Styela clava: one gene and its partners. The protein of the gene in region 1 purifies or fractionates together with the protein of each later gene. This does not show direct contact. Links are inferred from orthologs where the notes say so. Each region holds a gene or a part of one and is shown on either strand. Other genes may lie near its edges.

Region 1 (7,453 bases):
ATAGATATTATGGAGCCATTATTACTTTCCTTCGGCAATATAACATTGCTGGAACTGATTTAGAACAAGGGAAACATCGAATAATTTATAATAAAATAGTTGATAATTTGAAGAGGGGTGACAGAATAGTGTTTCTTAGAGATGGTAGTTTGGAAGGAGCTTGTTCAAACATACATTGTAAAATATTGGCTAATAATATGAAAACTTTCAATTATAAACTTATGTGGGACATTCTTTCACTAAAAGTTAAACCAAGGATTAGACATATTACTGGAAATGATTTATGTGTACTTTGTTTTAAAGAACCAGAATTTATATCTCATTTATTTTGGAACTGTGCATTTACACAAAATGTATATGATTATGTTTTTTCTGTTGTATTAAAAATAAACAATTGCGAGTTAAAAAATATTTATAAAACATGTATTTTACTAGAACTAAATAATCAGTGTTTTTCACATTTATCATTAGTCGAACGTAATGCAGTCATACTTCTTCTGTGTACTGCAAGATATAAAATATGGTTAGAACGTAATGCAGTTATTTTTGAAAATGTTAATCCAAGTGTAAATAGTGTCGTAACAAGAATTAGAAAATCCCTTTTAGCAAGGAGAAATATAGAACAACTTAGACATAATCCTAGTTTTATAAAAGAACTAGACATAATTTGTAAGAATCTATGACTAATTGTATAAATTTTTATTTTTCTGCTATAAATTAAAAACATATAAATTAATGTATATTTACTGATAAACATGGGAAACTTTATCTGGAATCAACAATGGAATAATATGAATTGCTGGATAATACTGAATGTTTACGAATATATTTGTTTATTATATGTAACTATGTTCTATGATTATTATTTTTTCATCATTTATTTATTTTTACAAAACTGTTATGAATCCACAACGTGGACCTTTAAAAAAAACAAAACAACAACAACAGGGGTGTCAAATTCGTGTGTATTCGAGGGCCGCATTGTATATTGGGAATTGTGCCAAGGGCCGAAAACAGTTTTTGATAATGTACGGTATACTTTGGGCATTTCTATTTTATGATACATCAATCAATCATACATATTGTGTTGTAATTAAACAGCCAAATAAAATTTTGCTATTTTCTTAAATTTCAAATGGCATTTTCATAATAATTTCTTTCCTTTGCACTATTATTGCAATTTACTTTATTTATTACAAAAAATTATAAATTTTTACATACAACTGTACAACTATCCAAAACATGCATACACAAAAATGACTTGATCTTAATACAGGGTGTTCTCGGGTTATGACGGTCGCGACTTACGATGTTTCGAGGTTACAAACGCGCACTCCATAACGCTGTTTCGAGGTTACGAACGCACTTTACGAACATATACAGATATAAAAGATAATACTGTACTGTAATATCTAAGCCTATAAACTGGATCATTGTGATCAGGAAAATCAGTGCTCTGGGCTCATTGGTTTTCGTTATTTACATCGTACACGACGTGACCAATTGCGAACTATTACGAATATGAACGAATAATCACTAAGCTTCAGTCACATGGTACAGTACTGTACACAGTTCCAGTGATACTGTACGTCATTTTGGTTGTTTAAGTCGTTTTTTTCGTAACTTGTTTGATCGTTTTTTTTTTTACTTTTGCCCTTTGTTATGGACTCAAAGCAAAAAAAAGATGTTAAGATACTGCACTGTTGCACACTTGCAATTCATGCACTGTACCACTGTACAGTATAAGGTTCAGACTTACACTGAAATTTGGGTTACACCGAGTCTCAGAAACAGAACTGCGTCGTAAGTCGAGGACTCCCTGTATATAAACCTAAAATCTACAAAAATACAGAATAAACTTAAACAGCTTACTAATATCAGGCTGAAATGATTTTACAGTAGGCTACCAATTCTTAGTAACGAGGTCACATGACCATCGGTTAATTTGCATCGTTGAGAATGTTTGATTAAATTCAGAAATTACTCCCTTATTTGTAACTTAGCATCACAAGCTTATATAAAGACCGCAAGTTGTGCAGTGCCTGATATATCACACAATTCATCGAATGATAAGAAAAAATATTCAAAGTTAGCAGACGCAAATTTTATTTGTTCTTTTAAATTTGCGGACATCTTATCAATTCTAGTAGCAACTGTATTTCTTGTCAACGATAAATTTTTGAGAAGTTCCAACTGTTTTTACAAGACAGGTTTGCTGCTGATTTAGCTGTGCTTTCAACTGCAACAGTTTCATGTTTCGAAGTTGATATTCAAATTTGTCATATTGACTGCTGGGCTTACTTTGATAATGTCTACTTATATTGTATTTATTCAATGTACTGATAGAAAAGTGACAAATTAAACAGTTGGATTTCGAATTTTGAAAATATTGCAACCCCCCCTTTTTTTAGATAAATGCCACCTTCTTCATGTACTTTGCATTTCTTCTTAATCACTGAACTGTTTTTTTTCAAGTATTCTCTTGCTAGCTTGAGGTGTATCCATAATCAGGTCAAAACGAAACAAAAAAATTTGTAATTTTTCAAAACTACTTTCTGTAATTTGTCGTGTTCTGCGTGGATAATCAATTTCAATTGGGAAGTTTTAAAAAATGTATTACATTTAGATTAAAAACCTTACAAAATATATCAATAATTGTTAAGCGTTCGAGGGCCGCGAGTTCGGCACCCCTGGTCTACACTCTACCTGTCTACAGAGTCACCGCAAAAATGTGTTTCAAATGAACTCGGTTCTGATTTTGGGTCTGGTATAGTTTAGTACCACATGCACTTCTAGTTGGCCTGGCTCAACAATTATTGCATATGTCAATCCTAACCCCCACCTAACTACGTCACCGAAAAATTACGTCATTTCGACGTCGCCCACCAAAGTATGCAGATGGTCGTCCAAAACGCGCAGACGATCACCGAAATCGAGCAAGCTATTTCTCTCGTTTTCTCGCCACAACGATCCCGATAGGAGGAGGTTATAGACGGCGCATATGCCATTTCGGGCAATCTTAATTATACTTTAAAAAGTCCTATGACGTGATGGTGATGTCGTAGTGACGTAATTTTTTGATGGCATAGTCAGGTGGGGGTTAGGAATAACATATGCAAAATTCGTTATGCTACGCCCACTGGAAGTACTTGTGGTACTAAACTATACTAGACCCCTGATTTTTTGGACCACCCTATATTTATGCCAGGGTTCAAAGTCGATGGGTCGGCAGATGCAGAGTTTGAACGGTTCTATCCACTGATCCAAGGTTTGAAGTAAGGGGTTATCCCATTATCCTCGCTTCAAACATTAAAAGAGATAGTGCAGATGTTTGCTGAGAAGAAATAATAAATTATTTCAACCAAATTTAAAAATAGCGGCGTGTTTACCCCCAACCAACTTATTCCAGTATTCAATTACAGCCAAACAAATCCTCGTGATGATCGTGGCAGGAAACAAGCTACCGGTAACAGAGTGGAGATGATTTGCGAAAGTTCAATATCAATTATGTTTTGCGGACCCGCTGCTGGAAGCCTCTTGCCTTTTGTGGTACTGGTCTTTGGAAATAAACGCCTATGGATCCTGGACCACCGACTGACCGATGGCCCTGCTGGGGACAGTATATGATGCAACACCAAGTGGATAGTTTGATACCAGTACATTCATCTGCTGGTTTGAAGAAGTTATCGAACCAGTCTGTGTTAAACTTGGTGTCGAAAAAATGCTCGTAGGGGACAATTTATTTTCCCACTAAACCACGGAATGAAGGTCGTGAGTTGGGTCTCGTGTAGTTTCGACTTCAAGTACTTCTTGTGGGGGTAGCATAACGATATTTGCACATCAATCCTATTCCTAACCCCACCTAACTAGGCCATCCAAAAATTGCGTCGCAATCACGTCATGGAGCTTGCCAAAATATACCTACGATCACCTGAAATAGCATCTGCGTTGACGATAATAAACTCACTAACGGCAGGGATCTCTCTCATATTGGGATCATTGCGATGAGAAAACGAAAGAAATAGCTTGTTCAATTTCGGGTGATTGCCTGCGCGTCTTGGATGACAGTTCGTATAGTTTGAAGGGCCTCATCACGTCGTGGTGACGTAATTTTTGGATGACTCAGTCATGTGGGGGTTAGTATGCTATGCCAACCAGAAGTACCTGAGGTACGAAACTACACTAGACCCCATTGACTTAGCAGACCAACATAATGTGTATTTCGCATGCCTGCCAGAAGTCATTGGACAGCAATCATATATACTCCAGCCTCTCGACTGCTCATTTTTTCCCTTCTAAAAGCAAAATAGAGAAAAATACTAGCCTAATGGATGTCATAAACACGAATTTGTGGTTGTCCGGAGAAACATTTCCCACTTTCACTGCACCAGCGTTTTTTTAAATCCTTGTTAACAGCTGCACAAAATCTTGAATCGGGATGTCAAGTTTGTGAGATTCACCCATCTAACCCCTCTGCTGTGTTGCGTAAGCCATGAACAACTGACCAGCGATTACGATATGTCTTACTCCTCTTGCACAGGGGTGCATGGTAAGCATACCATGCCATATATGTAACGTAATATCGCTAAGTTAACGATTAGCACAGTAGCATGATGCTCCACATCCAGGCATCGCCGTCTGTGTCCTTTCCGAAGTGGTTTTTAATATGTTTCTGTTTCCAGTTATTGGTCTATATATGTGTAGAATCTGATACTTTGAATTAAACATGCCTCCAACTCAACAGGCTTCACTGAATAAAATAACGCTAAAAGGATCAGCAGCAATTGTTTCCGAATTTTTCTGTGAGTTTTTCATGCTAATTGATTCATGCTGTTATTACTATATCCTAGCGACCTAGATAAATGGTTAGACACAGCATTTTCAGTTTATGATATGCTAGACTTGACTTTCAGGCTCGAGGTCAGCACCATGCTGTAGTGCATGAAGCACAGTACAAGCTTGTATTTGATTGGATTTTATAGAATGTACAGTAGTCTTTTTTTTTTCAGTACATGGTGCCATGATGTTTACAGATTTACAATAGCAGATTAAAAGCGATCAAGCTTGGTTTTTGATATAGCCTATTGGTTATTATCATGGTACCCCTTCGAATAATGATTTGGCTCTCTGAATTTTCTACCGTATTGCATGCTCTATTTTGATTATAATTCAGACTATGGAATCAACAGCATTTTATATCAACGTGGAATATATCCAGCGGAAATGTTTACCAGAGAGAAAAAATATGGACTGACCATACTTGTTTGCACAGATGACAAGATTAAAGAATATTTGGAGGAAAATGTTTGTCCACAATTAACCGGTGATCTCCAAATTCAATTTTGAAATCAACTTCTGATTCATTTTTCATGTTCGCTAACTATTATAATCAGTTTTGTGATCTAATAAGGAAATTTTTATTACTTACATCATCTGATATCTTTAGACTTTAATAGAAGACAATAATTGGCTAGTCACGTTTGATAGTCGTGTCTTATGGAAATTAACCTTCCTTTTAGTGCCATACTTTTGCAACATAAATAATAGCATTTCAAATCCTAGGTGAGAAAATTGGAATCTGAGAATTGTGATAGTATTTATTTTGTTACCATTGTCATGTAAATTTCTTCAATTGTTGTCCAATTTCATCTCAATGATCTTTCAAAATATTATGCTAGGTAGCCTATATGTAACAAATTTCTTGTTTCCTGTTCTCAAAAGTTGTTTCATTGTTACTCAAAGCCAAGCTATGCTCGATATATGCCTGGGGCCATAGCCCATAAGTGACAATATACTCTGGTATTTAATTTTGTTCTTTAACAAAATCTCTTTGAAATGTAGTTTGAATTACCTTATGAAACTTTTCGTGTTATAGTTATTTGAGAATCCTAAAATTACTGAGATGATCTGATGGAAATCTGGGAAAAAGAATGCTATTCTGGCGAACCCCATGTCATATATTGCTTGGGATTTGACATATGATAACTTATATGATAATATTTTATGCACAGAATGGTTAGAACAAGGTGTTGTCAACAGGCTTGTTGTCGTTATAAAAGATGTTGACACAAAGGAACCACTTGAAAGATGGCAGTTTGAAATAGATTGTGACAAGACAGTAACTTCTAAAGATGGAGAAAAGAATCACAAGTAGGTCATATATTGATTTTATTTATACTTATGGCCCTATTGCTTCAAAAAGATGTAGACCCCATTTCAATGCTTCAAGCCCTTTCATCTTTCAAGACTCTGACTTTCAACCATTTTTATTCCAAATCAGATAAAAAAATCATGGAAACATTCAAATCATCCAACAGACATTTTTGTGTACATTCCATAGAGATGAAATATCATAAAATGAATGCATTTTCAATGTCCCGCTCCCAACAACATTGTTTCAGAGTCGTTACAAGCATTTTCAATGTCCCGCTCCCAACAACATTGTTTCAGAGTCGTTACAAAATTTTACAAATGTAGGATTTGCCATTTTAAATTCTGTTCATCAATTAGATGTGTTTGCAGGATAATATTCATATGCCGGTGAGCCAGTGTTTAAAATACAGTGATTCAGTATGTTTTCACTTTTGTTGAAATTCAGTGAACTCATAGTAGTTGGAAAATTCAAGCATTTAAAAATGTTATTTTGAGATTTATATCAAAACAGCAGTATTATATAGTCATAGATACCATCAGGTTTCAATTTTCAAATATCAATTTATTCATTGCATTGATTTAGAACCAAGGAAATTGCAGAGATTCATAAAGAAATATGTGCTGTAATCAGACAAATAACAGCTACGGTTACATTCTTGCCTCTCTTGGAAACTGTCTGTAAGTTTGGTTTGATTATCTCTTCAATATTCACATCAACATAATTGGGCTCAACATACTAACCTTGGAAACCAGTGGTTCCCACATTTTTGATACATCCTTCCTTTGCCTCTTTTTAAATTCTTCATTAGTCACTGGCTAGTGATAGACGCATTACCAGTAATAATACTACATGCAATTGCTAGATAAAATCTTAAATTGCAATACAAAACAGGTTCTTTCGATGTTCTGTTTTACACAAGTCATGATGCTGAAAATATATCACCAAAGTTGGAGGAAAGCAGTGCTTTCTTGATCACCGACTCTCAAGAAGTGAAACTGAGATCATTCAACACTACAGTTCATAAAGTTGAGGGGGCTGTGTCATACAAGTTTAATACCATCCGATGAAAATGCTAACACCAATTTTTTAAAAAACAGTGAAGAAACTATTGCTGCGCTCAACCTCCTACTGAAATTATGGAACAATTTTGTCCATTTCCCATTTGGTGTGACCAGTTGCGCGGCCAGGGGGTTCCGACAGGGGTACAGATTAAGAACGCTTTCATGGACATCGTAAATCGCAAAATTTATTGTACCTACGCTACCGCACACATTATAATTGAATGAATAGCCATGCCGT
Region 2 (7,246 bases), about 12 Mb from region 1:
GTTTTAGATCGTTTTTCAAGTAGCTTTTCACCAAGTATAAAAGTCATTGTGTTTTCATCATACCAGTCAAAATCGAATATTTCAAGGATTTGTTCTGTCGTTTCTGTGTTTTCAACATTCGGCAGAGATTCAAATTTATTGAAGTGAATCTTCATTGCTCTCATAGAGTTCAAATCAACTTGTTTTGAACCAAGGAAAAATAAATCTGCTTTTTCAGATGAGTGTTTATTTGAAATCAATAAATATATTCCATGTCCTTCAGGGTTTTCATCGACTCCCATAGTAATACCAGCATTTGTACTCTCCTTGATCCAAAGTTGTACTTTTGGTCTGAAATTGCCAACAGTTTTATCAAGTTGGATTTTATGCGAGACATTGCAGTTTATGGACTCTCCAGATAAACTTACAAGTTTTAACAACTGATTTGTCATTCGATTAAAAATTTGTCTCAGTGATGACTCTGGCTGAGGATGGATTATCAACTTACTGTTTGATAATATACTACTGCTTGCAACAAAATTGGTCCATTCATTTTGAGTAGTCTTTGCTAGTTGAGTTAGCGGCTCATCTTTTAGATACTGATACACTTTCTCCAAATGAAATTGTTTTCCTTTTTTCAAATCTGTCTGTCTCCTTGATACTAGATGTTCGTAAATGAAATCAGCTACCAGTGCAACATCATTTCCAGACGATTGGCCCATATCGTCGACTGGCTCGGCCTGCATTTTCAACATTGAGCAATACAGCCAACGGAAAAAAGCTTTGAAGTTTTTTAGACTTGTGTCAATGACTTGGAGCATTTCAGAAACTTTAAGCATTAATGAACCAGTTGTGGATAATAAATGTTCAACATCAGAAATCTCAAATGGAAGAACATTTTTGTTATCAACAGCCATTCCTCTAAGCTCAGTTAAATGATAGTAAAGTGACATCAAACCAGTTTGAAAATTAACTATCAATTGCTGCTGGATGCTTGTATAAGACGATTCAATAAGAATGCCCAACTTTTTAATATCCTTTTTAGTAAAATGTCTTGTCAATATATTTTTCAAAGAATCCGTTGGTTTTCCCCAAATTAAAAGCTGGAGAAAGTCATCACCAATATTTTCAGATGAGCTACTTTTTACCAAATAACTTGTTAACTGTGAATCAACTTCCTGGGTTACAGTGTCACATTTTTCGCTGATACTTTCAAAAATAATATTCAAATATTGGTCGAGTGTTAATACCTTATATGCTTTATGTGCTGCAGCATAATAAAGTTCAATATTTTCAGTCAAAACCTTAAGATTATAAATTGTTGCCCATGTTTCTGTAGAATGGGAGATATGTTTTGAGTATACAACTGTGAGACTGTCTATATTGGGAGATATTTGCATTCCGAGAATGCAATGTGGATGTGATGATTGATCATGGCATGTAACTCGAGCTATCGGGAATATTCCATTGACCAAAATAGTCACATTACAATTGGAGTCGCATGATAGTAAAACATAGAAATTTTCATCATTAACAGCATACATCAAATTGCCAGTCTTTTCTTCATTTTCAATATGCAATTCTGGTACTTTGGGAAGATATTCTTCACTATTTAGGCCCCTATTCTTATGTGAAATGTCTTTTAATTGAGGAAAATTCATATCAAACCATTTTATAAGTTCTGTTTTTGGAGATGAAAATTTCCAAAGTATTTCTGCTTTTTCCATGTAAATAAATTTTATATTATCCTTGGTGCAATCATAGGCAACAGAAATGACTTTGCCATCTGGTCTCCATGATAAAGAAAGTATGTTTGTACCGCTCTCAGGAACAGGTAATATCCAAATTCTTTCTTTTGAAACTAAGCGATACAATAGTAGTTCGCCAGTAGCTGTGGCCACTGCTAATAAATCCAGCCTCGGTGACCATGATAACAGTTTAACTTTCGATTTCACATGCTTTTCACCCAGTGGCATGAATGCATTGCCAACCTTCATAATTAGTAATACCTACTGACCTTAGGTAGGATCTTAGTAATCTGAATCAATTGCATTACAATGTTTTTTGGCATACCCCATATTATAGTATTACGATAAGATTTCGATCCTAGAGGACATTTCAAAAAAATGGGGGTCCAACCCCCAAAACATGGATGGAACAAATTTCTGAATTTTGTTGGTATTTGGTAATCAGAAGTTGGTAAAATTATATTCTCACAACTGAACTGACTAAAAGAGGAATTACAAACAAATTACCGTACTGGGGGCTGGAAATGGGTTTCCACAATCTGACAAAGGTAGGGATTGTGCGAAGACAGAAATAGTGAATGAAATAGGGAACTGGGGAATGAAATGTGTTTATTATATAATGGAGAACCAGAGTTTGTTTCACATATTTTCATGTCTTGGAAATTCACACAAAAAATTTTGTTTGTTTAGGTATTATATTAAAATTAACTAGAATACATTTTGTTATAAATTAGGATTCTTGCATATTATTTAATTTCAAGATCCTTTATATAGACTAGATACTGTTGAATTGAATGCAATTATTCTTTTGTTATCAATAGTGAGATATAAAATTGGGACTTTGTGAAGGGTCTGGTATAGTTTAGTACCACATCATCCACATGCCCACTAGAAGTATATGTGGTACTAAACTATACCAGACCCTAACTTTGCACAGGTAACCTTAATGTAGTAATGTTTCTGAACTACTAAGTCTGTTGGGGGAAACCACCATTTTAGATAAATTTGTGTTTCTTAAGGCTCGGCGCCCGGCGGTGCATCGCCCTAAGCTAGTGTTGCCATACCGTCCAGAAATTGTGGACTTGTCCGGAATTTTGAGTTAAATTTTGCGTCCGAGAAGAATTTAAAAAATGCTCAAATGTCCGAAATTTTACTGCATCTGCAGTCGTACTGTGCACACTGCTATTACAGAACATTGTTATTTCGTACCGTGCGCATATTTTTTACTACAAGGTCATGAAAATAGTTATGCACTGTCCGGGATTTTGCTTTTTCAAATATGGTGACTAAGCGTTCGAGCCGCTGAATACCTGCGTGTGTTCGCAGGTTCGAATCGCGCGGGAGGGAGGGGGGGGGGGTAATCATGTGCGCGAGGATTGCTGGACTCCTCGTCGCTGTCGAGTGGTTCACGTGAACGCTGGTTGGTTACGGCTTCCTCCACTAACTAATCCCATACCTCATTTGTTCCCAAACTTTTTTTCGCGACCTTAATTTTCATAAAATCAGAGCCTACATCGCAACTGAAAAATAATTAGTACGGCCTTTACGCGTGATCAATGTTTCCCCGGCCTTTGAACTCAGGAAACTTCCCCCTATAAACTTAAAGCCTATTATCAATATAACATTTCTCATGTTTATTGTAAATATTAATAAGAACATTGCATTTTACACAGACATATTTCAGATAATTTTTTCTCAAATTTTAATGTCAGAATGTATAGCTTTTCGGCTTTATCCTAGGCCAGGCAAAAATGTCTGTAAGCTCCCGCGCAGGATAATCAAAGGGTATATGGCTCACGTAGGCTTAGCCTAGAGCCCTAGACTATATCCAACGCTTGACACGATGCAGCAAGCCACGTTTTCTTTTAGGCAGGAATTCTTTTCATTATCTTTACCTTAAAAGTTCCCGCACTTGACCAAATTCGTCGTCATGCTCATATTGTCACAGTTAGGTTGTTTTACTGTGTTTGTAACATCAGACAGGGGTCACCAAACTTTTTTGACCGCGGACCAGGTATGACTCAAACCGTAAATATGCTCAAACGGTGTTGAAACGGGCCGGACAAATATTTTTGTCAATGCAATACAATAAATTCCCAAAAGTTGGGAAATCCATTCAATTTATTCAACAATATAAATTCTACATTTCTGAAGTCTTGTATATTAAATTCTATATTGCAGAATATATATCAAGAACATCATAGCAAAACAAATATAAAATATACAAGATTTCTAGACAACTATCCTGAGGTTAGCTGCAACGACTAACATACCGGTTAGCTGTTAGCAATACAGTGGCTGTCATGAATATCCGCATGTAAGCAGTACAAAAGTTAACGTGACTTGTCTATTAGCGCAAAATGCACGTTCGACGTTCATTTTAGCACGAGAAACGTACACAGCAACAGTTTGATTGACTTGATTCATACTTAAATTTCGGAATAACGACCAAAAACTGACGAATAGCTTTCAAAATCGAAAAAACCAGGTATTGTTTGAAACCACGACTGAAAATCTGTCAGAGTGACAGGAGTGTCCGAGTGGATGCCAACGAGTCTATTGTTACGTCACCTTTTGCATCTTGCTGATTGGCAAATGTTACAAAATGAACAAGGAAGTCGATGCTCGGGGAAACATCAAGGGTCTGTCGAGGGCCGTGAAGGGACATGGGCAGTGATGGGATTTAGTCGGTTAGCACAGGTTCTATAGAACCGTCTCACGGAATTTTATGAGATCAGCGAATCGGTTAGCATTACTGGTTACTGTCAATGACTTTTTGTAACAGAAACGGCTGAAAAATATGGCTTTTGTGATGGAACCGGCCGACAAAAAAATTGAATCCCACCACTGGACATGGGTCCACAACCCAAACGCAAGCTGCCGTGACAAGTTCCTGCAATCTACAGGTGGGCAAATAAAGTCAACAAGATTACAGCTAGATAGAGAGGTCGATAAGCAATTACAGTGTCCCTACTGAGCGAAGCTCCTTGCATACAATCGGACCCCATACAATCAAATTTCGATTTTCGTTTCTTTGGACATTCAATTTGGCCTCTAAAATCCCTCGTATTAATCGCCCAGTTGATGGCGTGAAAACACAGCAAACCTGGTAATACCACCCCACATGTAGCGGATATGGTGAAAGGAAGTCAACCCCATTACGTTGTATAGAATAGACAATGGTGATCTCAACTCAAAAGAAAATAATCTATAAAACTTCCGTCGGCATATGGGTTTGAAGGCATTTGCCTGGATTACCGACTTGTCGTCCTGATCCGTAATAAGAAGAAAAAATGGAGTGACTCCTGCGATAGACTTCTGGATCGTGCTATAAATTTTCTGAATCGAGTCAGCGGTTACACGTTCAGTGTTTGCAGGCGTTAGTGTATTTAAAACAGACGTGTCTACACATTAATGAACATCATTTGCAAGAAATCAAGTAGCAAATGTTTAAGCTACCAATTATGGCGATTGGATACCACTTGGGCCTGAAACCTACATTTAAATGGTTTGGCAAATGATGTAAATAAACGTCTTTCAAAGATTTCAAACATTTTTGTCATCATTTACACTCACTGAAGCTATACGTTTGTTTCATATTCAGATATATCCATAATAATATATCGCGAATGCCGCCGACCTTGTGGGCTTGTTTCGTCGACGTAGGCTTCTATCATCTCATTGGCATACTCGAGCCGTATAAAACCTGAGAGTTTGCCTAATCACGAGCGAACAAGGTTGCGTTTGACGATTGGAACGTGGGTAAAGCACGGTTAGATAAGGTATGATGTAGTATAGGTAAGTTTAGGGGAGAGGGCAGTGAGTCGAGACTAAGAAGGTTGGTGAAAAAGGGCAGTGGTTCCGGGATAGGGAAGTTGTGTGAGTTAGGACAGTGAGTCAAGGATAGGAGGGCAGCGCGTGTGGAGGTTAGGAAGGTTGAGGGGGATAGGGCAGCGGGTGGAGGATATGTGGGTTGAGGGAGGCAGCGGGTGAAGAATAGGAAGGCTGAGGGTGATAGGGCCTCGGATGGAGGGATATAGGGCAGCGGGTGGAGGATGTAAATCCTATACCCTCCGCATTTTATCTGACCAATCAGACTTTTTGCTGCTGCAATAAAGTTCGCTACTTGTGTCATCTGACTATTGGTATCTCATACTCTCATGCATTGCTTTGCAGCAGGCAGTAATTTTCTGGGTGTTTTGCAAAACTGGCGAGCATATTTAATTAGGAAACTGTATGTTGCATTTTACCCATCTGTATCCAATCGACAATTTAAAAAAAAGTTTGATTATCACTCATTACATATGCAAAAAGGGAGACCGCTTGAAAGTTTTCAATGCAATAAAACAAATATTAATCAAAAATAGTGTAATACCTATGAACTTGGATACAGATAATTGCTAAAGTGAAACATACATAACTGATGAAATGTGATCGTATATATTCCAGCCTGTGGAAATACGACGATGAAAGACTTAAACATGAAATATAGTCGTAACCTAATAACTTTAAACTAAGTAAAAGTCAATCTATTCGTCGATTATATTCTCCAGACTTTATCTATCTTGAAAATGAATGAGTTCTGACAGACTCTTCACAACACTATGTTATACATGAATTATTCGCGGGTCTTTCAGACCAAACATCTCTAGACAAGTGAAAAGTCAAGTAAACACCATTATTACGTAAAAATACAAAATATATACTGCATAGGGAGTCCAATCATTTTACATAATAATTGCAAATTGCTGCGGCTAAAGGATTATCCGCGTCTTTATAATACTAGATTACAAATCTTCGTAGGCCGCTCTTCCTTTCTTATCTCTCTGAAAATTAATATGAGGCAATTTCAAACTATACATGTAATACCTGAATATTGATATAGGCTGCAGATGTAACTATCTGGGTGTCTCGTCTATATCACAAATATCATTAAGGTTCTCTCATATTGAGCTGAGTTTATATCAGGGTAAATTTATCGCAGTTGATCATATGAGATTTTCACCTGTTTCTCCTCATCAAACTCCGATTTCACGTCGTAGGTGAATTCAGTTGTCTCGATAACGTTTTCAAGCACCTGCTAAATTAAGTTATTCAATTTGCAATTTGGCGACAAGGTCTATGAGTCTACAATATTCTCAAATTGTGAAACATTTCGGATTGTCAAAATCATATTTAAACAACTTACATTGATCTCATCCACGAGTGACGGTTTTACTTTGCAATCAGATTCATCCCTAGATATAGGTTCATATCCATCAGGACATGCACATTCAAATCCAATAGGCGTTGGGAGACACAGGTACTTGCATGGCGATCTTTCACAATGGTTCAAATCTAAATTAATTACTACTGTTATAAATACGCTTGCCATACGCCCCCGTTTAGCCGAAACATATTTCTTTATTTGATATTAATACATCTTTTTAACAGAGGCAGTCGATTAATCACTGATTCGCACCTCGCTTTACCAGTTCCGATAGAGCGAGATAAATTGTTATATCATAGTTTTGATATGA
Region 3 (8,009 bases), on another chromosome or scaffold:
TTTCAGTCAAGATTCATATTTCTGAAATTATGGTTAGGGCATATTTGTAAATCTTTTACTAATCTATTACAAAAATTGTTTAATTAGGCCAAGGCAACAAGTACCTGTAGATCTGGACAGTCACGAATAGCTTGTATAACTTTCTTGGCATCTTCTTCATTATTCAGTTTTAATCCCTGTCCTTTGAAACTGACAATATTTTGCTGTCGAACTTCAGTTTTTTGTAACAAGGAGGCAATTTCATCGACTTTGTCATTTTTTGACATATTTTTGATTCACTCTTAGCGGTTTTAGAGGTTTATTTTATTATACAGTTAATTTATTTGAATATATACAGTGGCTGGAGAACCGAATGAATAGCTTAGACAAAAAATAAGAAAATATTTTATCAACTTGGTATCACAACTACATGTTTTGTGAAAGCAGAAGGCAACAAATCAAAAAGTAAATATTTATACAATAAAAGTTCATTACAAAAGACTTTTCTGAAACAATGTAGCCAAGCTTGAAATAAGAAAGCGGGTCACTGTTTCTCATAGAAATAAGCAGCATAATATAATGTGATAAACTGATGCTCCTTCGTTTTCAAGTATCTCGTACTCCTAAAAAAAATAAGCTACCTAGGAAAAAACCAATTTGAACAAAATGAAGTATCATAAGAACGAACATACTGGTGTTTTTATTTTGTTAAGAAAATGTTTCAGCAATAACAAATAAAACAATGAATATTCATATTTCATTGAACATATAAAGCAGTTAACAAAAAGAAATTCAAAATGCAAAAAAACATATACAACAACCTGACAAAAACTTATCCGAACACCAAATACTTTTACCCTATTATAATTAAATACTCAATACCATATTACACCAATATAACAATGGCAATATATATATATAAGAGAACACTGTCCGATGAAATCATTTCAAGCATAATTTTGACATAGGAAAGCGAGGGTAAGGAATTCGTGGAAATTTACTTCTCCAATATGAGTGTTGTTGTTGTACATTATATATATTTTACATGTGCTGCAGCTACGCTAGATCTAAAAGGTCTTTCAGGCACAGAAGATAGACACATGTGAATGCTGATGAAAAACAGTGAGATACTGTTTTAAAATCTAATCAAACATACAATCATTTCAACTTGAAGAAAATATATTTATGGCTTTTATTCCAACAGACTTGAATTGCACATTGCAAAATTGTATTCGCCGATGCCATTAGTTTTTGAAATAATGAACCAATTGTTTGAAACTTTTAGTGGATGGAAATGTCACCTCAGAAGCTATCACTTTATTTGTCTGTCAAATTTTCTCCCAAGGCTTTTCAGCTTTAGCTGATTTTAAAAAATTGATCCCATTTGGCAATTTAACTCTATGATTGATTTCCATAAATGTGAAGTAATTCCATATTGCCTATATATGTGAAATAAAGTTGCTACAATTCAATAAAAGAAAGTGATCCTTCCAAATTCATTAGAACTATCGCTGTCAGAATAAGAATCACTCTCCTCAGAATCTGATGATTCAACATCGCTTACTATTATAATATTTCGAGATCGAGTGCGATACCGTGAGTGGCCTTCTCTGTCATCATTGTTTGATCTACTCAGGTCGATAGGAGAGTTAGGTACTCTTCTTCCTCGACCCCGACCACCCCTCGAACCACGCCCACGCCCCCTATTTGCTTTATTTTTGGCAATTTCAGATTCAATTTTCATTCTCTCCTCAATAATTTTCTCTCTTTTTTCTTTAAGAACAGGAGAAATACCTTCGAGAGCTTTAGAAATATAATTATCCAGAACAAGAGATCGTGTCAATGTCAATATGGGCTGCCTACAAACTGGACAAATACTATTAACGTTTTTCCACTCATTAATACAATATTCACAAAATGTGTGAGCACAGTTCAATGTCGTTGAAACAATGAATAACTCTGAGCAAATTGCACACTGAAGTTCATTTTCCATTGTATCTACCACCGTTTTGATAGTTGAAGAATTTACCTTATCCTTTTCAAATGATGCTTTACACTGCTCAAATGCAATGTCTTTTTCTAGTTGAAGCCTCATCTCTAATTCTTCTTCCTTCTCTACAAGTTTGGTTTTGAAATTTTGCTCAAGCTTTTGTGTAATTTTCTTTTGTTCGTCTTCAATTCTTTTGTTTCGCAAATTAATTTCTTCTTTCAAAGCTTGTTCTTTCTCCTCGAGCTGTAGTTTTAATCTTTTATTTTCTCGTTCCATTTCATGATTTGTTTCTGATTGAGTTTCAATTTTCATTTTTTTATTTTTATTTTTTCCAGTGGAATGTACCATTTTATCATTACAATTTGTTTCGTGGTCAACTGTTGGAACATTTATTTTAACAATTTTGGCATTTTTATTTTTGGATTTTTTATATTCTACTTGTTTTGAAGCACCATTAGCAAGTCTTTTACTTTTTGCTGGATGCAGCTTTAAATAATCTTTTTTTAAAGATTCAGACATATGCGTCTTTGGCCCCCGTGGTTTGCTGTCTAATTCCGAATTGGTTGCAGATAACACATTATAAATAAATCGATCATTGGCGCTCATTGTTTTTAAAATTTCCTCATCATCAGGTCTACCAATCTCCACTTTATCACCAGCACTAAGACGATGCCAGTTAGAGTTCTCAATTTTAACACCATTGACGTGTATTCCATTCAATGAATTTAGGTCTTTAATGTAAAAGTTTTCATCTTTCTTTTTCAATATTTCTGCATGTGTTCTAGAAACATGTTGTGATAACAATCGTATAGGTAAATCTGATGATCGACCAAGTGTTACCACATCATTCACCTTTGTTGAAAATGGAATCCATTGATCAGGACCTTTATTTCCACTGTTTTTATCTCCAGTCACACGAGACAAGAAGAGCTCCATTGACAGATTGAATCACTTTTCAGAAATTCAATGAATGCATAGCTATATCTGTGAAAGTTTTAAAATCATATTTTTTTAGATACACTGATATATATGTACAGATGTAATACCAGTACAGATCTGCAGATGGTGAATAAACTTATTTTGATATATTCTCAAATTTATACCGGTACAACTGTAAAGCGTTACACATAAGGCAAAAAACGATCAATGCAAAAAATATTAGACAGAATACAGGAATAACTGAATAAGCTAACCAAAAGAGCAAACAAACAAAAATGGGGTCTCATGTAGTTTTCTACCTAACATACTTCTAGTGGGCGTAGCACAACAATTTTTTCATGTGTCAATCCTAACCCCCACCTGCAGACCCGACTATGCCATCCAAATATTACGTCTCTACGAAGGCACCGGCGCCATATCGGGCGATAGTACGTATATTTAACAAGCTCTATGACGTGTTTGTGATGTCGTAGTGACGTAATTTTTGGATGGCATAGTCTGGTGGGGGTTAGGATTGACATGTCAAAAAATTATGATGCTACGCCCACTAGAAGTATGTTAGGTAAGAAACTACACGAGACCCCAAAAATGTTCCCCATACGCTATAAATTTGACACAATGTATTATTATTTATTTACGGTAACCGGTCAAAAATTCATCAGAACAGATTAAACTTAGATTCCCGTATGTCTTGTACCGGCATTGTCCACATACTACCGTACCGTACCGGTATGTACCGTACTACATAAACTCAGTCAAATCTCAATTCACAGAAAAAAGTTTCATTAGAAATTACAGAGTCTGATACGGTAGTTGAGGTCCGGATAATACAGTAACACACATCTCTAAACGCACGATGAGTACCTTTTTTGCTAAGCGCGCCAAATCAAAACTTTTTGACTTTGCCAAAAAGAGGCTACCGGTACTTCGTGACCCACATGCAGCGGCGGCGGCGTGCGTGAAAATCTATCTTGTTCTTAGATAGATAGTTTATTTCGAAAACTCCATAACAAACCTAAATTTAAAATGGAGAATTCTGGAGGGCAAGCAAAACCTACAAAAAAGTTTAAAACATGAAGTATCTCATGTGCCTGCCCACCAGCACGCACACAAAAACACAAGCCCAATTAAATGAGGCTTGGGCCAAACTTAAAAAACAAAATACACGATAGTAATACTAATAAACTTTCGGGCTGTTGTACTCTCTTTCAACAATTACGTTGATAATGACCAATACCTACAACCTCATGCAAAGATAATGTGGGGAGTGGAATGTAATAAATTTGCGACGATAGTCATACTCATGAGGCCATGAAAGCTTTAAGAAAAACCAAGCCATGAAAAACTACACTGATTGCTAGATTGGGCATTGCGGAAAAGGTGATAAGTGGTTTAATATACAAACAAACGCAAAACCATGGCGGAATGAAACGGAATACTGGCTGGAATGAAACACTCGTGAAATCACAAAGTATAATCAGAGCTATTATATACGGTAATGGCTCTGGTATAATAACCCTCTGTCTGTGGTTTGAGCCATGCTACATAACAGGGGTTCTCAACCCGTCGATGCGTATTCTGCGGCCCCCCAAAGATCTTTGATGAACCCAAACATATCATAATATCTGCGGCGTAACGAATATAAACGATTTTTTAATTCGGTATCATTCTTCTCAACCCTTACAGCGCATGATAAGATTATGGATTATGTCATCACAGCAAATAGATTAATTACGTATTGTTTTTTTTTTTTTTTTTTTTTTAAAGGTCCACGTTGTGGATTCATAACAGTTTTGTAAAAATAAATAAATGATGAAAAAATAATAATCATAGAACATAATTACGTATTGTTACGTAAAAATTGAGTTACTTAGCTCGCTCATTGCACCCTCCATATACCTTCGGAAACGCGCTTCAAAACGGTGTTACACTGCGTCCAGCTTGAAGGCACTAAGTCATGGCGACAACGAAGAGAAATTAAACGACGGAAACAGAGTTTTTAACTCTGCGTGGAACAATGAATGAATTTGCTTTTGCAGAGATAAATGGGAAACCCATCTGTCTCATTTGTCAACGAAGTAAATTTACAACGACACAGTAAAACTAATCCCATACCCGACTTGGAATGGTAACCGGACGAGAGGCCGGGGTTCGCCATATGGATAGGCCGTCTTATCGGCTTTCCTCTCCCCCGGGATAAATATGTAAATCCTATCCTATCCACCACAAACAGCTTCAAGAGTTCAAAATTGCATATCCATCTGGTTGTGATCTTATGATTTTTTTTAAAGTAGGGCCTACTTGTGAACAGAATGCAGACTCGGAATTCTCATTTAGGAAAAAAACGTCTTTGTAATTGCAAAAAAATTGTTGCTGTTAGATATAATAATATTTTTTCTATGTTGTAAAATTTTGTCATAGTTCTCGTTAGGGAAGAAATTGGAACTGCAAACTTACGAATGCTATCCATTAACTATGTTTTAAAATGCATAAAAAGGAAAACAAAAAGCATATTATACATCAGTATCGGACTAATAAATGAATAAATAGTACAAATATATGGTAATAATATTCTGTGGCCCGTCGCATCGTTTGTGGTCAAAATGCGGCCCTTTTACATGGGAGTTGAGAACCCTTGCTCTACAAGGTGGTGGTCTTGAAATCCTAAATTTCTCAATAATTAAAATTTTAGCTGGACTAGGACTATAATATTTTGTAGAAGTTTAAAACAGAATGGGCCTAAGTGGTGGTCTTGAAATCCTGAATTTCTCAATAATAAAAATTTTAGCTGGACTTAGGACTATAATATTTTGTAGAAGTTCAGAACATGATGGGCTAAGTCCAGCTAAAAATTTTATTATTGAGAAATTCAGGATTTAAAGACTACCATCTTGTAGACTGTAGAGCATGGCTCAAAACCCCAAAATATTAAATAAAGATAGTCCGCAGTTCCAATATGATGGGCATGAACATCAGAAATGAAATGTCCCTAATAATTTGTTCAGTGCAACTTAGACCTAAGTCACCCTGTTTTACCTTGCATAAGTTGTTGAGAACAGAATGGGCCAAAATCCTTTATGAGGATAAAAAAGCAGGAAGGAATTGAAGCTGAAATGCAAAAAAATATTGATTGCAAAGATATTCTCATTCACATTAAAATAACCAGAGATCAGATCTTTACTAAGTGTGAATATCTAGAAACGCTCTTTGGGATTACCAATCTATCCTATTGAACGTTTAAGAATGCGCAATTAGATCACAAACAGGATTCTAGTTTGCTGATAAATATATATATATATGGTGATCGCCAGCAAATTCGATATACAGAAAAATACCCTCGTTTCCACCCGATACTCGTAATTGTTGTAGTAATGCATCCGCTGTGGCCGATCTCGTGAGCAAAGTTTCTACCCGAAATTGTGTCACTTCCCCTATTAGAAAACCTCGGTTACCATTTCTGAAGCCACGCAATTAGCGAGAAATTGGAATTTTTATATTGCGTAAACGCCCATATATCTTGACCAATAAATCAGGGGTAGGAAAAAAATTGAATGTCCATTATATTCGTAGTTTTTATTTTCAACAATCTTGCACATTGCACAAATTATTAGCCTTGGCATGCTATTTCATTCCAATTATTTATTTGGGTAATACGAGTTCAACTGAGGTCACCAGGGGTTAAAAAGTCACGAAAATCTGAGGGGGAACTCCTATTACCACTTTGATAGATAACAAAATGACACCATGGGTCATATCAAGGTGTATATCATCTGTATTATCAGTTAACAACTGCTATGCATGAATAAAATTTTTTTTACCTCCTTCCGTCACTCTCATAATATTTGGTTAAAAAAAGGCCACAAAATAACATGCCACACACCTATTGTTGTGCTCTTGGTAGCTGACCTTTGTAGGCTATGCTTCGGACGCATTCTGTCGCATGTCGCGGAAAACATGGCCCCGTGCATGTGTCGACGGAATTCGTTGACCAGACCGTTCTAGTAGAATGTAGATGATTCAAAATGTATAATCTGTCACGAGACTTTTACTGAGAAAACGGTAGGAACCGAAAATGGACGTAAGTCGATTTGGGATGCACCATTAATTGAGAAAGACGTTGAAAGCAAGCGATTGAAAGTTGTCTTTCACAGTAAATTTTTATATCATCTGAGTAACTTGTGCTACAAAGCATACACAATGAAATCTCAACTTGAAAGGATTTTAATTTATGTCCGATCGTTAAGAGGGATGCGGATGTTGAAAGAAGTGTTTCTAGGGTGGGAAGCATTCTCCAAGCAAGACGGAAGGACAGCTAAATATGGAAATGCTCTTAACAGTCTTCGACTTTTAAAGTAAGAATCCTAATATGAACAAGAGAGCTATGCTCAAATATATAGACACATAGCGCCACCCAATGGCAATAATTTTGATGACGTCATAGCGAGAAAAAAAAAGTGATAGCCTTCTGGAGAAAAATTTTATCTTTAACCACTGAAAATTTCAAAGCAATTGGTCCAGTATTCGAAGAGAAAAGCGATTTTTTAATGATAATGACGAAAGAAAATAACAATAACAACAAAATTTTAAAACGATCGTTATGGCCACTAAACGTGTCCAACTAGAGGTGAATAGAGCATTTAGTAAGGCAGGGACTTCATACGAAGGAACTAGCACGCAATCTATCCTGAATGTCGTACAGAAAAACGAAAATCCTTTCGAAATGCCCCCTGAAGAAAAAAGGCTGCACATCATCCTCTCCTCAGTAACGACGTTATGCCCATTAACGTCAGAGAACAACTTCTCAATGTAAAAATGATGAATTATACAAAAGATATCGAACTGAAAGATTCATAATTAAAACAGTTTAACTTTCTGAAACTATTCATCGTACTAACCTGAAAACTCCGAGAAAGGTGTACAGAAATTGAGGGCAAGGCAGCAATTAAGAAAGAAGATGCTCCTCTGTTTGCCTCGAAAGGATTTATGACTAAACCAATAAAAAGTGCCACTGTCCGCAAACTAGAACGACATTTGGCTCCAAATGACCCAAGTAATCAGGCAACCTGCTACATCATCGACGTTATGACAAACATTCGCAAAC
Region 4 (7,991 bases), on another chromosome or scaffold:
CTCATTGAACTGTTTGAATGTCATTCAATGGATGAATGCTTGATATACCGCGTTGCTATTTGCTTCCATTTCTTTAATGGACTGCGACTCTTCAGAAAAATTGCAAGGGGACCGTTTTGAATAATTTTTCAAAGATTTTAGAACCACTGATTATAGGTTCCAATGGATAATTAATTATAAATTTATAATAGTTCAACTTCTTCACGGGATCCGTGGTTAGGAATCTTTGATCTATTGATTCTATTCAATACTACAAAATATGGCAGACTAAAACGGGACAAATAGGCTCTATTCATTCCGACTATTGTATTTAGAGCCGTGCTTTTAAGTATCTTTTCAGGATTATCTCATCTGACATAAATGTTTCTGTAACCTTAGTTATGTTCATCCAGCATTGTGGTGCTTAGCATATCACTTCTTTGTCTAACCAATGTTTTTTTATTCAGTCAGCAGTGCAAACTGGGCAAGGAAAACAAGAGACAATGGTGAGAGACCCAAAGAAGCATGAAACGCATGTGCTGTAATGTGACAAACAGTTTGCTATTCATATACGCATGGAATTCGGTCAGAAGTCTGGGATTGAATGATATACTACAGATGAGACAGCTACTGACTTAAAAACGAGACTAGCTTAGCAAATAATGAACTATTTTACCAGGAGTCATATATAAACGGAGTTTCTACCCGTGATGGAAAGAATTATAAACGTGATGCTGCATTACAAGTTAGCGATAAAGTTTGATTGGTCTGCATAGTGACTCGCTTGAAGATTTGGTGAATAGTGCATCTTGGTATTGATGTTAGGCCGGGTTCCTGTCTTGCCAGTCCTGAGATGTTGGATGAAAATGGTTGATGTCACAGAGCGATCAGTCGTGATTAGGCTGTCAAATCGGATTTGTGTTACAATTCGAATAGCAGTGAAATAGAATAAACATGTGTTGTGGAATGTAGAAAAAATGCAAGGCGTGATTTTTTCGGGATGTTTGAACACCCAAGGCTTGGACATCATGCGAGTTCGATTTGGCTATCTTGTTTTGCTGTTTTTGAAAACATTTTACGTCATCGGTATTTAACACTAGATGCAGCTTTGAACAAAAGCTTGTGCTATTGGAGTTGGCCTCTTGATTAACTAATTCTTTTAATTAATGTCTCAAGTTTAATATGCCTTTATGGTAAAATGTGCAGAACTTACACTAAATACTGCTCTGTAATCAATGTGATGATTATTATTGTTCAGCCTAAAAAAAAAGCCATTGTTAAAGATACTTTCTATCTTTTTAATTATTGTTGAATCTGTGATAATCCGTTTGCCTGGGTTTTTTTCTCTCTATGTATTCGAGACCGGTACTATTTTAAATGATTGTAAAAACTAATCTTGATGAATGTTTTGATTCTCAGGACTTGTCCACATTCAAAGGTACATGTGACCTAATGACACCACAATTTGTATAATTACCTTTAGAATAAAATTGCTGACTCGTACATATACATTTTATTTCTATACATTAAACCGTAAATATCTCCGTTAGACCGATTAGACCAATAAGCATATATACATGCTCATTGGTCTGAGTGACAAAAGTGTCTTAGTGGTCGCTATACCTTCATTGTTATGTCGCTCTTTATATCTTGCAGACGAGCCTATGTTACACAAAGTAAATATAACAAGGATGCTCGGGGAAACTTCCAGCCGCAAATTTTTCCCGGGGCCCAAACCCGAAAATTTAATAAGTGCGCCGTGGTCGTTAGAGCGAAGAGAGTGGAGAGCGCGATCTTCAATGTTTCGAGACCGTCTCGATCGTGCGGTTACAGAGTTCTGGAGTTACCGGTACTGAGTTATAGTTAATTGGAGCTAAAACTGTAAAACAAGCAATACTTATACCGTACTACTGCAAGCTGTACTGGTACCTGGTGTTATTTTTACATTTGCACAGTCTATCTGGAATCCGGCTAAACGCCTATATCGCACAGTTCCTCGAGCATCTCTGCCTCTGACAGTCTGGAATGTTTCGTTGGCAGGTTGGGGATACCTACAGACCTACCCTGTGCTGCTGTGCCTGCTGCAGACCTGCACCAAAAAGGTTGAGAACTAGGCCTACTGATGGCAGGATGTAACGTTAGATCTAGATGCTTAATCAGTGGATAGCCTACCAGTACGGTACGGTAACTGTTGGATTGCCTCGATTAACTTTCTAAGCTGGGCTACTCGCATGTCGCATCTAATACGTATGTCAGTAGACTACCGCTATGTAATACCAGAATACTGTAATACAGTAACAATACCACATAGGCTATTTGTATTTGCAATGTGCCTGTCCAAAGTCAGTGCTGCAGTAAGTGCATTTATATCTCAATACTGCAATACAGCAATACAGCCCAGTCTGGATTTCATGGCCTTTTCGAACGAGAAATCGGGCGTGCAATCAGAAATTCCCGCGTGCAAATAAGAATTTCTGGCGTGCAATTATAGCTCACGGCGTGCAAAACAACTGCGCCCGCTAAACTGATTTCGAACTAAGATACCTCTCAATACATCCGCGTAAAAATAAGTTGGATCATAGCAAAAATGGACGTTTGACCTTTGACCCCCAAAAACATCATTTCTATATTTTGTCACTAATTTTGAGAGTGTTTGTGCGACTTTAGATACCGGTACTGTTCAGTACATCCGTGTAAAATTATTGTATTAAAAATACGCTGAATCAGAGCCATAACTGGCCAGCGTCGGTGAGGAGGCGATTTTTCTCACGGGATTCCTATCATTCAACACGATATGGTGATTTTTGCTTCGCATTTTTCGATCAGGCCAAATCTTGCAAGCAAGTATTAGTCGACAATTGTAAAGTTATAATTTTTTGGCATCTTTATATTACTAGATTATTGATTTAAAAACTATTTAAACCGATTTACATTGGTGAGCAATTGCAAATTTTCGGCGTGCAAAATTGAATTCGCTCGCGTGCATTTTTGTGGAGCGCTAGCGCCCTCGGGCGTGCATCTGCCATGGAATCCAGTCTGGAATACAGCAATAACTTATCTCAGTATCTTCAAATCTCTGAATCCAGATGACTAGATGATGTTGTCAAAGCTTTGTTATAGCAGTAACGGTATATCTGTATATTGAAATGAAAGCAATGAAGATTCACCAAATTTATTACGTTCCGTTGTTATTATTATCATAATGTTTCTCATTATTCAGTTATTACTGCAGTACTGTATGATTATCGTTATACATAGGTAGTTTCTTGTTTTATTTTAAAGGCTTTCCCCCGGTAGAATTTTTTGTAATTTTTTGGATAATTGGATAAATAATGTAATAAGTCGATTTCATGGTGTACAAAGTATTAGAAGTGCCGAAATCAGGCTTCAAAGCCATCAATACAATATATCTCCTTGGGTAAATGTTACTTAATTTGCTTTTGAATTTGCTTGTTCAATCTTTATTTTAAAAGATGTATTTGTGCAAATCAGATTCGATTTGTTCATACCTCAATTGTATTGATGGAAATGAATAGGTTTGATATTTCACTTAGATTTAATTTTTTTTGTTGTGAAACCCTCCTGTGAATTCATGCTTGTTTACCAATATATCTGGCAACAGTGATTAGAGATATTATTGTTCAGCTGATTTTGATTCATTTTTCTGGCAATTGTGGCTATTTTGTTCCATCAATTGCCGGACTTCTGGCGCTGAGTTAAACATGGATATATGTAATTTAGTAATCTGTGAACGTTTAGGATGCCTTAGGACAGGGATGGCGAACCTTTATCAATGAATGGGTCAAAAATCATATTTTTATCGCGGAACAGAAGAGAGTGGGTCACAGATATTTAATCAATGTTTGTATCTATAAGAAACATCTGAAACAAATCATAATACAACGGTTCTGTTAATGTTGGTGTAGTTTAGTGCTTTACTTTACAGCACTTTATCAGGAACTTTTTATGGCACTCGATCAAGGGTACGAAAACACACATGTGAATTACGTTGAGGATGATGCGGCAAATTATTTTACGGTTCCAAAGAGTTTGAAGGGAATTCCACTCTGATAGTGCTATAGTTTTATATCAGCTTTAACCATATTAAAAGCACTTTTACACTGCCCCATTGTTATTCCAGATTTCTAGGTTTTATTTCAAGTCTGAAAGATTTTGTATTCTCAACGGCATTGTAGGCGAGAAACTAATAAAATGCAAAGTGGCATCTAGTTCTCGTACAACCCCTAAAACAGTCTGCAGATGCACTTCTGAAGAGACAAGACGTTGCGAGAAATGAACATCAATTCGATTGTTATGTCATAAACGATGTCAGAGCCAATAGCTGAATAACGGCACACAACGGTGCAGACATGCGTCCAAGATTGGGGGTTTTGAATATTATCATAACGGAAATTAACAATTTGAATATAAGCGATCGCAGCCCTGACTGCCCAACTGACGGTACATTATAATAGTTTAGGTATTGTTAGATTAATTTAAGGCCGATTTTAATATTTTTTATCACTGATATGTTAGCATTTTTCTTATTTTATTCGTGCCTTGGCGGGTCACGAATAAAACGCGGTGGGTCACTTTGTGACCCGCGGGTCAGTGGTTCGCCATCCCTGCCTTAGGATGTCAGAACGTCAGCCCACACTCGTGTGACGCTATCCCACTAATGGGGATGGCAGCCCACACTCGTGTGACGCTAGCCCACACCCGTTTTTGTCAGGCCATACTAGGGGTAACTGGGCCGTGCTTGGTATTGTATTTGCGTTGTGTATATCAGATATGGTCTCTATATTGTCAAGAGTCACCAAGTTTTTATGTAATAACATTTACAAAGTCAGTAAAATAGTTGGTTAACCCGTTGACGTCAGCCTGAGCAGGTGTGGGCTGCGGTAACCTTGGTTATCAAAGTGATGAGTGGATGTTCAATTACAGAATCCAGAATTTAGACATTCACCTTACCCCACCTTACTCAGTTACTGGAATCACATTTTGACATTCGTCTACTTTATCAGGTGTCCACACTTTGATCTGCCAGTTTTCAGTAATGCTATTACTGTATTATTTACGGTACAGTATTATTGGTATATTTCCAGAACTCACTACAAATTTCATATCTGTTCTCTGTTGTAATGAGACATTTTTAATTCAGTCAAATCATTCGGTACTGCAGTAAGTCTATCTTCAGATCTAGCCCATTCTTGTTCAGTTAAATAAATCGCTTCTATTTTATTCTAATTGTGCAACTCCTCCTCCTTTTTGCATTCAAATTGTATGTTTTTCTTTCGCGATTCTTTTTTTGAGGTGTTCAGTTTAGTTTTGTGAACATTATACACCTTGATTAGTAATTCTGGAATAAGCATTCTCACTAGTCACTTGCTCATATTCAAATGCAGAAATGACTGGAGTCATATGAGGGATTCTGAGATTCTAGTGCAGTACTGCTCCTGTGGATACCGAACATCTTACTCCATTTCTGATATTCAAGATCAGAGGTCGGGCAGTCATTTATCTGTTCATTGACCCACAGTAGAGTTCAGAACTTTGTATAACTTTGAACTGTAGCATTGCATAGTCAGATAGTAGTTACTCTAAAAGCTATAAATTTATTGCTTAAAGAATAAAGATTTTGAATTTGTTCTGAAGTTATTAAGGTAATTCTGTATTTGTTATTAATGGATTTGAATCACTCTACAAAAATAAAGACACCTATTTTGACTCATGAATAACTCCAGTAATCTACTGCGAACATCAACTTCTGTTAATGCAATGATTGTCGCTCTGGAACCAGTGGAGTTTATACCCTATGGTCGCCATGCTATTTCTAATCATCCAGGTGAGCGATAATATCACAGTATTACTATGTCCCTCTTAGTGTTCTATCAATTTGCTCCTACCAAAAATTCACTATTACCTACCTTAAAAATAAGAAGGGTGGAAAAAAGAAAATGTTTTGTATGGTTTGAGAATGCACAAGAAATAGCATTTTGCAAATACAGTACCGGTAGCTGACCAATAAGTGAAAACAGAAATAGGTAAATGAGAGTTTTTTCTTCGCAAATTGCTTTAAATTTTTCAGGCCATCAGTGTTTGTCATATTGGTGACATCGAACAGTAATCAGTAATTTATTTTATCACCATATAAGAAATACACACTGTACATACAGAACGAGATAAGAAAAGAGAGGAAAATAATGCATTTCAGGGTAAAAAGGGATGCGATAAACCAGCATTGGTTATCGAGCAGCGACACCTATGAATAGTCTAACATTGGGTCATACAAGTTTAAAAAACAAACTCAATATAGTACTAAAGTGAGGAGTCGGACGCCAAAATACTGACATTGGCATAAATATGTTTGAAAAGACCGGATATTTCCGGACTCACTAAGCAAACGACTCCGAACGCCGACTGGCGTTGAGAACTTAATGTAAACAACCTTATGCCACCTACTTCTGGATTATTTGAAAAAAAATTTGATATCCTGTTTTGTTTTATTTTCACAGGCCTTTCTTGTCTTCACTTGCATCAGTCACAAGCTCCTCTAAGATTAGATCGAAGTTTAATCGGTTCTTTCAGCAAAGTTAGCTTGGATGACAGGAATAGGGTATAAATTTTCATATGGATGTATATAATTACGGATGCCATAGTTGTGAATGTTTTTATTGAGATTACAATAATATGTATGTGTATAGGTAGGCCTACTGCATCGGTGTCTTACGTGAATATATATAATCATTGCCTAATTTATATTTATTTAATACACATGTAAATGTAATATATTTGGGATATTTTCAGGTTTCTGAGAGATGGCACCTGCGGAAATATGCAAATGCTGAAGAGGAATTATATATTTGTAAAAATACTATAGTATGGAGTAGAGGATACAAAGTCATCAGTACATATACAATTGATTCACCTGTAATTCATGTAAGATATAATTCCTTCTAATTCTAGCTTTAAGTGGATGTCTTGGATGCAAATTGAATAGGCTTCTACTTTTTTTTTCTTGGATGATATTCATTCAATCATTTTGAACAACCTATTAACTGGAATGTTGAAATAACCTGTCAATATGGTGTGATAGGTACTGCACTGTACCTTTATGGTCAGTTAGCACTGTTAGCAGTTTTGTTTTTTAGTCTGGTATCGTTTTTCACTGAATCCTGAATGCCAAAATCAAAGGATCATCATTCCCTTTATCGCTCGGAAGCTCTTTTCTTTTTGAAGTGCCTTTTTATTTTTGAAGTACTGATATTGGATATCAGATCAAAGTCAATTATGGTAAATAACATAATTGGCAGACCTTTTGGGTACAAATACATTAAAAAATATATTAATCCTGATGCAAAGTTAATACATTTCATGTTTGAGAAGACCCATGCAACAGAAATTTTGAGCAAATAAGCGACCCCACAAAAAAATAAAATAAGCATAGCCATCCAATAAAATGCCGGAAAATATGGCATATCCAAAAATTAAACCAAAAATGTTTATTGACTTATGACAGGCTATTTGGTGTTCATTTGTGATTGATGGGGAAGATTCTCATATTCATGAATTATATAAAAATACTGATGAACATGGTGAAAATAAGAAAAACGTTGAAGGATTTGTTGCAGTATCTGATGGAAGTTTGCATGTGTTTTCTCGAGAAGGAGACGATTTTGTGACAGCATTGCCATTCCAAGTATGTGTTGTCAGTTGTCAAATTACAAATGAAAAGAAATTCATACCAAGTATCATAACATAAATCAACAGAAACTACCCTTTTCATTAGCCAATTCCAGTGTATAGAAAATTCAAAACATTACAATCCTGTAATTAAAATTGTCCCACGGTCATATTTTAATTAAGATTTATCACTGCATGAAATTTTGGTCAATTTATCGCAGGTTCGAAAAGTGTGGAACACTGATTTTGGACTCGTTTTTGAAAGAAATCAGAATTCAAGTGATTCAGCTCCATCAGTATCATCATCAGATAAAGCACTAACTACTGTA

The links.
Region 2: the proteins of mitotic spindle assembly checkpoint protein MAD2A-like (region 1) and anaphase-promoting complex subunit 4-like purify together in Homo sapiens (affinity purification with western blotting; 14 studies listed by BioGRID and IntAct, with this or other methods). This does not show direct contact. The link is inferred for Styela clava from reciprocal best matches to the Homo sapiens genes MAD2L1 and ANAPC4.
Region 3: the proteins of mitotic spindle assembly checkpoint protein MAD2A-like (region 1) and uncharacterized protein LOC120327195 purify together in Homo sapiens (co-immunoprecipitation; 3 studies listed by BioGRID and IntAct, with this or other methods). This does not show direct contact. The link is inferred for Styela clava from reciprocal best matches to the Homo sapiens genes MAD2L1 and RNF8.
Region 4: the proteins of mitotic spindle assembly checkpoint protein MAD2A-like (region 1) and anaphase-promoting complex subunit 1-like purify together in Homo sapiens (affinity purification with mass spectrometry; 3 studies listed by BioGRID and IntAct, with this or other methods). This does not show direct contact. The link is inferred for Styela clava from reciprocal best matches to the Homo sapiens genes MAD2L1 and ANAPC1.

What each region holds. Positions count from the first base shown.
Region 1 is NC_135260.1:18,873,555-18,881,007, reverse strand, and holds the start of mitotic spindle assembly checkpoint protein MAD2A-like, read left to right. Parts: upstream 1-4,431; 5' UTR 4,432-4,726; coding exon 4,727-4,802; intron 4,803-5,173; coding exon 5,174-5,323; intron 5,324-6,011; coding exon 6,012-6,150; intron 6,151-6,736; coding exon 6,737-6,831; intron 6,832-7,045; coding exon 7,046-7,221; 3' UTR 7,222-7,453. UniProt on the Homo sapiens protein: Component of the spindle-assembly checkpoint that prevents the onset of anaphase until all chromosomes are properly aligned at the metaphase plate.
Region 2 is NC_135260.1:6,796,610-6,803,855, reverse strand, and holds the start of anaphase-promoting complex subunit 4-like, read right to left. Parts: upstream 3,023-7,246; 5' UTR 1,977-3,022; coding exon 1-1,976. Other genes in the region: low-density lipoprotein receptor-like, read right to left, coding at 6,515-6,553, 6,733-6,807, 6,916-7,064. UniProt on the Homo sapiens protein: Component of the anaphase promoting complex/cyclosome (APC/C), a cell cycle-regulated E3 ubiquitin ligase that controls progression through mitosis and the G1 phase of the cell cycle.
Region 3 is NC_135253.1:16,792,625-16,800,633, forward strand, and holds uncharacterized protein LOC120327195, read right to left. Parts: upstream 3,001-8,009; 5' UTR 2,906-3,000; coding exon 1,448-2,905; 3' UTR 361-1,447; downstream 1-360. Other genes in the region: ran GTPase-activating protein 1-like, read right to left, coding at 105-266. UniProt on the Homo sapiens protein: E3 ubiquitin-protein ligase that plays a key role in DNA damage signaling via 2 distinct roles: by mediating the 'Lys-63'-linked ubiquitination of histones H2A and H2AX and promoting the recruitment of DNA repair proteins at double-strand breaks (DSBs) sites, and by catalyzing 'Lys-48'-linked ubiquitination to remove target proteins from DNA damage sites.
Region 4 is NC_135259.1:2,111,647-2,119,637, forward strand, and holds the start of anaphase-promoting complex subunit 1-like, read left to right. Parts: upstream 1-4,971; 5' UTR 4,972-5,709; coding exon 5,710-5,824; intron 5,825-6,494; coding exon 6,495-6,595; intron 6,596-6,786; coding exon 6,787-6,918; intron 6,919-7,498; coding exon 7,499-7,678; intron 7,679-7,883; coding exon 7,884-7,991. UniProt on the Homo sapiens protein: Component of the anaphase promoting complex/cyclosome (APC/C), a cell cycle-regulated E3 ubiquitin ligase that controls progression through mitosis and the G1 phase of the cell cycle.